2 linked regions of the Caenorhabditis elegans genome follow. The protein of the gene in region 1 interacts with the protein of each later gene in a pairwise test. Each region holds a gene or a part of one and is shown in the gene's direction. Other genes may lie near its edges. The genes, in order: hlh-8 and spig-12.

The links.
Region 2: the proteins of hlh-8 (region 1) and spig-12 interact in a two-hybrid assay, tested with the Caenorhabditis elegans proteins (one large-scale study listed by BioGRID).

What each region holds. Positions count from the first base shown.
Region 1 is NC_003284.9:8,114,626-8,120,949, forward strand, and holds hlh-8 (Twist-related protein), read left to right. Parts: upstream 1-1,831; 5' UTR 1,832-1,926; intron 1,927-2,012; coding exon 2,013-2,114; intron 2,115-3,139; exon of another isoform or gene 3,140-3,286; intron 3,287-4,133; coding exon 4,134-4,250; intron 4,251-4,297; coding exon 4,298-4,445; intron 4,446-5,160; coding exon 5,161-5,247; intron 5,248-5,398; coding exon 5,399-5,481; 3' UTR 5,482-5,715; downstream 5,716-6,324. Other genes in the region: C02B8.12 (Cpw-wpc domain-containing protein), read right to left, coding at 5,785-5,933, 6,016-6,195. UniProt on the Caenorhabditis elegans protein: Acts as a transcriptional regulator. Involved in postembryonic mesodermal cell fate specification. Activates ceh-24 and egl-15 during mesodermal patterning.
Region 2 is NC_003282.8:16,380,855-16,384,474, reverse strand, and holds spig-12 (BHLH domain-containing protein), read left to right. Parts: upstream 1-2,259; 5' UTR 2,260-2,297; coding exon 2,298-2,405; intron 2,406-2,554; exon of another isoform or gene 2,555-2,578; intron 2,579-2,680; coding exon 2,681-2,920; 3' UTR 2,921-3,097; downstream 3,098-3,620.

The sequences.
Region 1 (6,324 bases):
TCAACCGGGCCCACTGATTATTCATTAATTATGCGACAAGAAGAATAACGTTATAGTTTTTCTTTCTTAAGCATTTTTCATCATCAACATTTTTTGTTTAGATTTAATTTTGTTGCTAATAAAAAACTACACAAAACGCCAAGCACATTTATTTGACTTTTTTTTTTGAGTAATGCAGTAAGTAGGCAATTTGTTGTTTTTATAATTGATTAGTTTTAAGGCCTACTTGCAAAACTGAGAAAATTCTTATCAAGAATTCAAAACCATTTACGATTATCGGATTTTTAATATGGACAATGTTACTCATTTTGGATAAATCAAAAGAGTTTTTGGATTTTAAAATTAATAACTGTTTATTACTGATTAACAAAAGATTACGGTAAATTGGAGTTACAAAATGGACAAGTTTTATTTATGAATCAAGACATATTTTGATAAAAAATATGGGTACCCCCGCCAATTTAAAAATAAATTTTTTAACTTAAAAAAAAACGTGTGAAATGCTTTCATATTTTCAGGCTTACTTAGAAAAACACCATTCCTAAGTCTAACGAGGAAAATGGGAAACATGGGAAATATTACCGAAACCTGGGAAATATTTTTTATTGATTCCAAATTTTCCCTTGATTCCAAATATCGATGTGAAAAAAAATTAAAACAAAAATTACTGATTTTATTTAAGCTTGAAATCACAAATTCCATTTTTATGTCATACTTCAGATTTAAACAAATTTATTTTATGTGTGTTTTTTTAATGGTATGTCCTAACGATTTTCCTAATTGACAACTATTATAGATTGAAAACACAGAATGCCAAGTAACGTAAGAAATTTTTTTTTCGAATACCAGACATAATTTCAATAAAAGAAAAATCTTTAAAAAAAGTTTAACTTTATACTACAATAATTTTGGTTTTTATGAAGGAATCTGTATTGCGGCACATCATGTATTTGCTCAAGGTTTCGTTGGTTGACATATTTTTGTGATCCGTGGAATGAGCTTGCATAGAGTTTAGTCATAATTGGGTTTATTTTACATACAGTTTGAAGTATGTTTTGTCTGTTATTCGAAATTTTTTAGTTAGTTTGGTAAGTTGAAAAGAATTTACAAAATTTAACTAAACGAGGACGCTCATCTCGATTCTTATAATTCCATAATAATTCTACGGTAAAAGTCAAGTTATGCCTCAAAACATGTAATACATAATTACCAAAACTACTTAATTACCGCATTTCCTTAGTATTTTAATAGTGGTGTAGTCGAATTTTTTTTATTGCTTTATTAGACTCAAAATTGTCTGCAAACACCCAATTTCATAATGAAACTTATTGAAAACAATACACTTTGAAACAATTTAGTATTTCAGGAATAAGGTCACTGGAACTTCGAAAATGATAATTTGAATAACCGTTAATAAAATATTCAAACCAATTTGCATAATCTTGATTTTGTATCATGATGGTATAGAATGGGACTTTTGAAAGATGTGAAGTTTCAATTCAGTAAGTACAACTTTAAAATTGGGCTGCAAGATTTCTTCTTAAATTTTCAACAGTTTCAAAACACTGAAATCATGCTGAACTATGGTTAGAGACTCGACAACTTTCCTAAATTTTGGAGCAGTTTCAATGGTTTTCGAATGTATACTACATTTGTACCATTTTATGTGTTAGTGTAGGTTGCTTTGCTTCTACCTTCACTCTCAAATTCTTTTTTCCGCGGTAATTTTTCAACTATCGAAACAAAGAAGAAGTCATGAATAACTGTCCGCATAGAGTTCTCACCCGTCCCCTTTCTTTTCACCGAGCAGTCACGAGAGAAAGAAGAAGAAGCGGACCGCTGCAGAGATTCTTCGTAGCGGAGCCCCGCCCATCCTCTGTTACGCATATGTTTGGATCTCATTTCTTCCACTCATTAACGTTCCAGGTATGTTTTTTTTGTTGATTTTTTAATGTGTTACTTTTCATATGTTTATTACTTGAACTGACCGATTTCAAATATGATTTTCACAGATGGTGGCTCGTAGAAAAGGAGAACGCGTGGTTCGAAAGAATGAAGTGGAAAATGTGCAGCAGAGAGCATGTGCCAACAGACGGGAACGTCAAAGGACCAAGGTAAATGTTCATTCAATTGTTTTTGAGAGTTTCGGGTTGTTTAATATATTTTGAAAATGACCGCCTTTCTCTCAAAATGTTATTTTAGAGGCTTCAACCTAGATCAGCAGCTCGAAAAAAAAAACAGAAATTAAATATATAGTTTTTTTTAACGTAGTCAAACATAGTAACCTAGAATTGATACTATCATTTTATAAATGAAAAAAACCATGTCAGGTCAGTCAGGTCATTGTTTGTTGCATCTATTCTGCGTACGACTTTCACACAATTTTTCAATGACAGTTTTGCGTTGAGAACAACTTTTGATCTTTGTTATGTAATTAGTATATTTGAGCAAATTTTTCTCTTCTTAGCAATAAAATGTCGAATTTTCAACTGAAGTTATCAAGTTTGAGTGAATTATAAAATTAGTGCTAGCCATGTAAGCAATGAAATATCCCCTTCACACGAAATCCTATAAATTAGTGAGCGAACACTCCAAAAAAACCGGGTCATTAAGATTATCTGTTACTGTTCAGTATCGTTGTAATCCATACCCCTTCATTGCACGCTTTGGTAATTTTTTCACGTTTTTTTCCATTGATTAAGGTACAGTTTCAGTAGATCAATCCGCAAAATTTGAAAAAAATCTGTTGATTATAAGTATGTTCACCCGTATCGAGGAAATAAACGTGGAATAAAATACTAAATTTCGCAAAGAAAAGGTATGACTAAATAAACATGATTTTCGGTCTTTTCGACATCAAAAAATGACAAAAATGTGCTTTTTTTAATATTCAAACATGTTTTTTTGCGTCAAAACCGTTTCTGAACTTTTTTAAAAGGTATTATTCTGTAATTGGAACTGTAGAGCCATTGCTTCTTTTCAAAATTTATATAAATATTCCAGTTCTTTACTTCTACTTCCCCCTACGATCTAGTATTTAAAAAATTAGTTACAAAAAAATGTTACCGGGGAACCAATTTTAAAACCATAACTCGGCAACCAAATTGAACACGACTCTTTCGCATATCGCATATCATTTACAGCTTCCGTTCCCAAGCCATATCTCACACTTTTCCGACACCTCAATAACTAGTTTCACATATCACCCTGACCGCCAGGCTCGACGACACACTTTATTGTTCTCCCGCGCAATGTTTATGGCTCATCATCTGGCATGCTCGCTAGCTCGCTGCGTTCCAAAACTCCTAACGTCGCCTTCGTTTACGGCTAACATTAAACCACTTCCTCAACTCCTTCCGTAAGAATTTTGAGTTGCTTTTCGGAGTACGGTAGAGGAAGATGCAAGACGCGAGATGGGAGAAGAGGGTGGGGGGCAATAAAAAGAAAAGGTCCCTTCTGAATCCTGAGAACATCTGGAGACAATTTCAAAATATCACAGGAATCAGAGAGGCTGAAGGCAGAAAACTTATTTTTCTTCTTTCCACGGACGACATTTCTGAGCCAAGGCGCTAGCTAAACAAAACGTTTTTGATGGGGAAAATGAGTGATGGTTGAGCAATATTTTTGCCGAATTTAAAAGATATTGATGATGGCGATTTTTTAAATAAAGTCTAAGTTGTTAGCAGTTTTTAAAAACAATTACCAAAATATTAAGTTAATTAGTAATTCCACACCGTCTTTGAAACGCCAAATGGAGTCTTGAAACTATTGCAAATTGCAATGCATTCCGAATATCACTAAAAGTGCACGACAACTACCAATTGCCGTAAACTTCAAAACCTCGTGGCGTTAAGCCCTTTTTCAAAAAAAACCTAAATGAATACAAAAACGCGGTAGTGTTTTCTAAATATAATTATGTTTGAAAACTACCAAAAAAAACCTGGCAATTGGCAATTTCGGCAAGTTGGTCAATTTTAGCAATTGCCGGAAATTGCCGAAAACTGTGATAACAACTATCCTAATGACCTAATGAGTTCTTCTCTATCTTGATATGTTTATGCTTTATAAACATTATCTACTGTTTATGCGCGAAAAAAAACATTTAGATCACTCGTATTATGATTTGTTTACAGGAACTCAATGACGCTTTCACACTTTTGCGTAAACTGATCCCGTCGATGCCCTCAGACAAGATGAGCAAGATCCACACACTACGCATTGCAACCGATTACATATCCTTCCTTGACGAGGTTTTGAGTTGGAGATACTGTGGGATAATTGAATAAAACAATTTCAGATGCAAAAAAATGGATGCAAACTGTATGGCCATTCGATCTTCGACGAAAAACGTGGATACAATTTACAGTCGGCTTTCAATATGTGGAGGGGTAACAATGGATACACACCAATTGCTGGACCTTCACAGTTGCCTCCACTACAATCTGGTGAGCAAAGATGTTAATTCATTTTCAATTTTTTATTTGTTCCGTAGGCTGGAACATGTTCATAAACTTAGCATTTTCCGCTTTCAAAATTAGGCAAAACTATGAAAATAGAAGTACGAAACGTTTTTTGAGTTTAATGGATTATAATATTTTCGAAAAATGTCAGGTTATGATTAGAGCTATCATTTTTCCCGAATTATTTGATCATCAATTTACACGAACCTAAAATTGACTACATCAAAATAATGGGGTAATAACTGATGTAGAAACAATTCGTTTCAAAATTTTCAGTTGTAATTTTAGTTAGCTAATGGGGCTAATAACAGCACTAGTATTTTCTAGCTGTTAAAATTCTAAAGCTTTTATGTTATCTTATAGGAAACTGTATCAGGGATAAATGAAAAGTTAACCACTTTCTTAAACATTTATCGAACTTATAAACGTCGTACTTGTTTTCATATAACCTATGTAAAAATTATCATCAAAATTTAAAATTCTTTGCTTAGTTTTGCAGCCTCTATTAGTCTTGCATCTCTACGAATCTACCGACAATTAGTCTTACATGCAGGAGTAATAGGAAATACAGTGTACTGGGCTTCCTTTGTGCACTTATAACAATGAAAATTCTCAGCTTCAGAGTGAATTGAAACTGTTATGATTGAAATTCTTATGAGAATAAAATTCGTGTCTTAAAAACAAAGTTCACTTTTTTCAGCACATATTCCCCCTCCTGCTCCATCCAGCATTCCTCCACACTGTCTGATGCCCCAGCCTTGGTATCAGACTTGTCCGCCGCCAAAACGTAAGTTTTTGTACTGATACAAATTTTTATAGTGGGTCATAAAACAGTTTAGTCTGACTAGCACAACATCAGTAATCCTGCAAATCCTTTTTGTCAAAGTACAAAAGTACAATTTTTGAAGAGAATTCGCGTCACCTTGTTTTTTTTTCAGAAGAATTTCATGAACTGTGTCCCATCTCAACTCCAAATCCCAATTCAAATCCAAATCAACTCACTCCAATTCACTGGCAATAATTTCGAATATGGAAAAAACTGGCCAGCTCCTAATTTATTTGATAATGTATGCTTCTCAATCAACATAGTCCTCATGATATAGTGCCTTATTCTCATTTTTGATGTATCAAATCTGTCTAATAATATCTACTCGATTTCAATTTTCGTTTGCTCAAAACTTAAAAATTTGCTTGAGAATTTTGCAAGAGACTATTAGTAAGCCCATTGTTAAATGAAACAAGTTTATCCCGCAAACAGAAACTATGTGTGAATATGATCAAACTATAATACAAACACGTAAAAAAAAATTTTGAATCATAATTATCATTTGACCACTAAGCCATGCAATGATGAACCAATTTCAACTTGACATTCACACCCAGTAGTGGTATCAATTGACTCTTTTACCCAGTCATCGCCATTCTGTCTCATCACATTGATCGTCCTCATTATTGGCTTGCATTCTCCGAATCCTAAAAAAAGTGTGGGTCAGCGGCGTGATGGATGGGCGTCTATGAAAAAAAACGAGCCCATCGGAGCCCAAATGTCAAATACCTGAAAGGCATCCATCGTCGTTGTGGTCGCAATTGACCTCATTCAAATAGTTGGGGTAATAGTCGGCGGGAAGCTTTCTCCACTGCCAACACAAATTGCACAACCCACACCATTCGGAATTCGTTTGAAGAGCTTCACCACGGCGGTACTGACATCCAAGACTAGTGACTACTCCAAGCACTGAAAAACAGAGTTATCACTAAATTACTGATATTGTATCGGAAAGATTTGCATTTTTATTAGGATGGTCATAGATCTAAATCTAAATTTAAATTTTTTAAATTTCCAGTTAAAGTTAAGACGAAGTGC
Region 2 (3,620 bases), on another chromosome or scaffold:
CTAGAGGGGTTTTTGTATCCATATTATTTTGATTTGTTTGGAAAATGATTTGTTTGGAAAAAAAATTAATTTTTTTTTACTGTTTCAGGTTGGTGTGAAATAATGGAGTGTTCCAATATTTTTGGTTTTTTGCGATCACAGTACACAGGTCCAAGAGAAAATTTTTTAAAAAAGTCCATTTTTTATTTGGTTTCAGCAGCTGCCGTTAGCTCATGCGAATTAGTTTTTAAAAAATTGAGAAAAAATTGTTCTACTGTTTTAGGTAGTTTAGAAATAAAGGAAATTCCTAATGTTAACGTTCCTATAGAAATCCGAGTCTGTTTTTTTAAATTATTTCGTAACAGTCTTAATAAAATAGATCGTAATGGCTAAGTATAACTGTAAGAAATGTAAAAAAAAATTCAAAAAGTAAATAAAATATTTTTCAATTCCCGCGCAACTGTGGTTTAAAATTAACAACATTTTACAAAAAATGTTGACTGCAAAATTATTGAAAAAAACCCGTTAATCCAGTAGGAATTTGAAAATAGTTTGGTTTTTTTTTGAATTTTTGTATGCAAAACTTTAAGGAAAAATCTTTAGATCCATTATTTTTTTTAGAGTTAATACGTTTTTTTTCTATATTTCTGCAACAGTAAAAATTTCAAATTCAATTTTTAGAAATCTATCAATTTAAAAAAAAATAATCGTTCCGAGTTTGGTTGCAGAAAAGTTTGACTATTACGAACTATACTATACCAAATTTATATTACACTTGTATAAGAAAAAGAGGAATATTGTTTCATTAAGTACTCAATCTTAGAAAATAGTTTATTGAAACAGTGAAAACATTTTCCACTAAATTTTATTTTTATTCCCGGTCCCTCTGTGTTCTCCCATTCGCCCAATATTTTATTTCAAAGAGCCTCTTTTCCCTCCCACACATTTCCATTTCAGGGGACCCCCTATCTTCAATTTTGCCCAAAATTCGTACTAGTCGTTTCTGCTTTTGTGGACCCCCTAGAAGGGTGCAAAAGTGAAAATGCGCGCAGCTGTTCGATGCAGGAAAAGCTCAACTTCTTAGGGGCTCATCAACTGCTGCTCGCCCCCTCGGGGGCAAAAATTGATACAGCTGCTCCGGGCGGGTATGGGCAGTAATTGGGTTTTGTAAGAGTACAGGTGGAATCTGTGAGAAAATTTGAAGAAAAAAAATTACTGTTTCAAAATCCTTATGTTTTGAAACTTTTTGAAAGCACTTTTAATGCACATTTCAGATCTTGATGAATCAGAGAAAACCATTTAATCCAAAGAAAATATACTGTTTCAACGAATCTGTATAGTAAAATAATGAGTACCGGGTGATGATGTTCTTTCTCTTCAAATTAATACTTTACACTTACAAGAACAATAAGTACTGGAAACAACTTTTTTCAAAAATTTAATGAACATTTTGAAATAGTGGAATGATTTTTTTAAAATTTAATTGTTTGAAAAAAATTATAAGCTGTTTTAACACATTTTCATATGAAAATGACGCAGTTTTAATGAATTATTTAGTTTTCGTAAAATTAAATTTCAAACAAAACATTTTTGCTGTTTCATATTATCTTTAAAAAAAAACTATTCCATTTTGAACGATGTTATGTCGATAGGCTTTTTCAATTTTTTCAAACTATTATAACTTTAAATACAGTTTTGAAACTTTAATAATTGAAAACAAAACTGGAAGTATTTGACATTTTTCGTGAACTTTTGAAAAAAAAATATTGTTTCAGAATATTGTTAAGAAATGTGTTCTATTTTGGATGATAGTAGATCTACCGGAGTTTTGAAAACAAAGTTAAACATTTCTTTTTCTCAAAATAATTTAAAAAAAAAACGTAAAAAGTAATGTTTCATCTTGGAGTATTGAAAAGGGTACTCAAAAAATTCCAAACAATTCCCCCGTTTACCTCCCGCTCCTCTAGACCCCGCCAACCCACATTTCTCAGCGGTCTCGTGGTGTAGTGGTTATCACATCTGTCTAACACACAGAAGGTCGGTGGTTCGAGCCCGCCCGAGATCAGTCTTCTTTTTTTCGTTGTTGTTGTGTTATACCGTTGTAAAATGTCTCCCAGTCTATCTATCGGCATTTTCCCTCTCTCCACCCTTTTATCTTCTTCCCCCCACCCGTACTCGCGCGCACCTGTGGTAGGCGTGGCCTGGACAGCAGCTGGGTGTACACAGATACACCCCGCCTCCTCCCTCCAACTGGACCTCCATTCTCATTCTGACTCTTCACAGACCGCTATTCAACTACTCGTCTCCTTTTCCTAAAAATGAAGAATATTTCTGCTCGTCCACAACGTGACACCATCTCCCACGTTTCACCAAAATCAAGGAAAATTCGAAAATCCACGTCAGCAGAGAGAAGAGAAAAGGAAAAAGTTGGTGATTTTTTATAAGTTTGAATAAAAATTTAAAAAAAAATCTGTATTTGAAACTGAAAAATCCAAATATCATCATCATTAGTTATATATAAAAAAATATCGTACGTCCGTCTCCTTTGTAGTTTGTAGTCTGGTGTCTAAATATTTTTTTTTGGTTTTACGACGAATTATTAAAAATACAACATTTGAAATGTTACATTTTTTTTCTGAAACAGAAATTTTTTTTCAAAATATAAAAATTCCACTTTTTTTCTAATTTTTCAAATTTCCAGGTAACAAACCGACTCCGACAATTGGTTGCCGCCGAGGAAGACACTGACCAATACGAGCTCGTCATGGCCACCATCGCCCACATCCGAGAGCTCCAGGCTCAGCTCAACGGGAAAGAAAACTCGCTGCCACGTGGCTTTGAACAATTCTTCACCTCCTCCGCCTCAGTGAGCCCACTCTCGTCGAGACCCGAATCACCGGAATCTTCTGTGGAATCATCATCGCCGAGGTCAACTGCATAGAAATGTTTAGACATTAGTGTTTTAGTTGTTATTTTGTAATTTTTCACAAAAATTTACATTTTTTGTGAACTTTTTTTTGTCAATTTTCATGTCGGGTACTTATATTTATTCATTCTGTACATAATTCTTTGAAAAAAACACTAAAAAACTATATAATAAATCTTAAAAAAGACCTTGAATCATTTATTTCTGTGAAAAAAAACGATGAGTGAAGAAATGAAAAGTGTGATAATTAATGGACATTGAGAAAGTGAAACTTTTTTTTTCCAATAGTTGCAAAAAAATTTTTTAGTGTCTAGCTTGTTAGGATTTGCATTAAGCAGACAATTGAGTTTAGAAATAACTGACAAAACGTTAGGAAAATTGTGAAACCTTTTGAAAAAATATTCAAAACTATGAAATTTCATTGAAACAGTAAAATTTTTAAATTATCAAAATTTGACATTTTTTGGAAACTGAAGCGAATTTGAGAAAAATCTGCCGAAAAAAATATGGGCAACAAAAAATAGTTACTTGCTCCCAAAAAAAACCGCATACTAGTCAGTTCAAAAAATTCTATATTGAAAATATTTTTTTGAAACAGTAATTGTTTTAAATTGAATTTTAAAATTAAACTTGCAATTTGTAGGGAATCACCAGAAGAACATTTATTCCAATAAGACGGAGTTTCTGAAAACCGCTGTTTTGAACTTTTTCATTG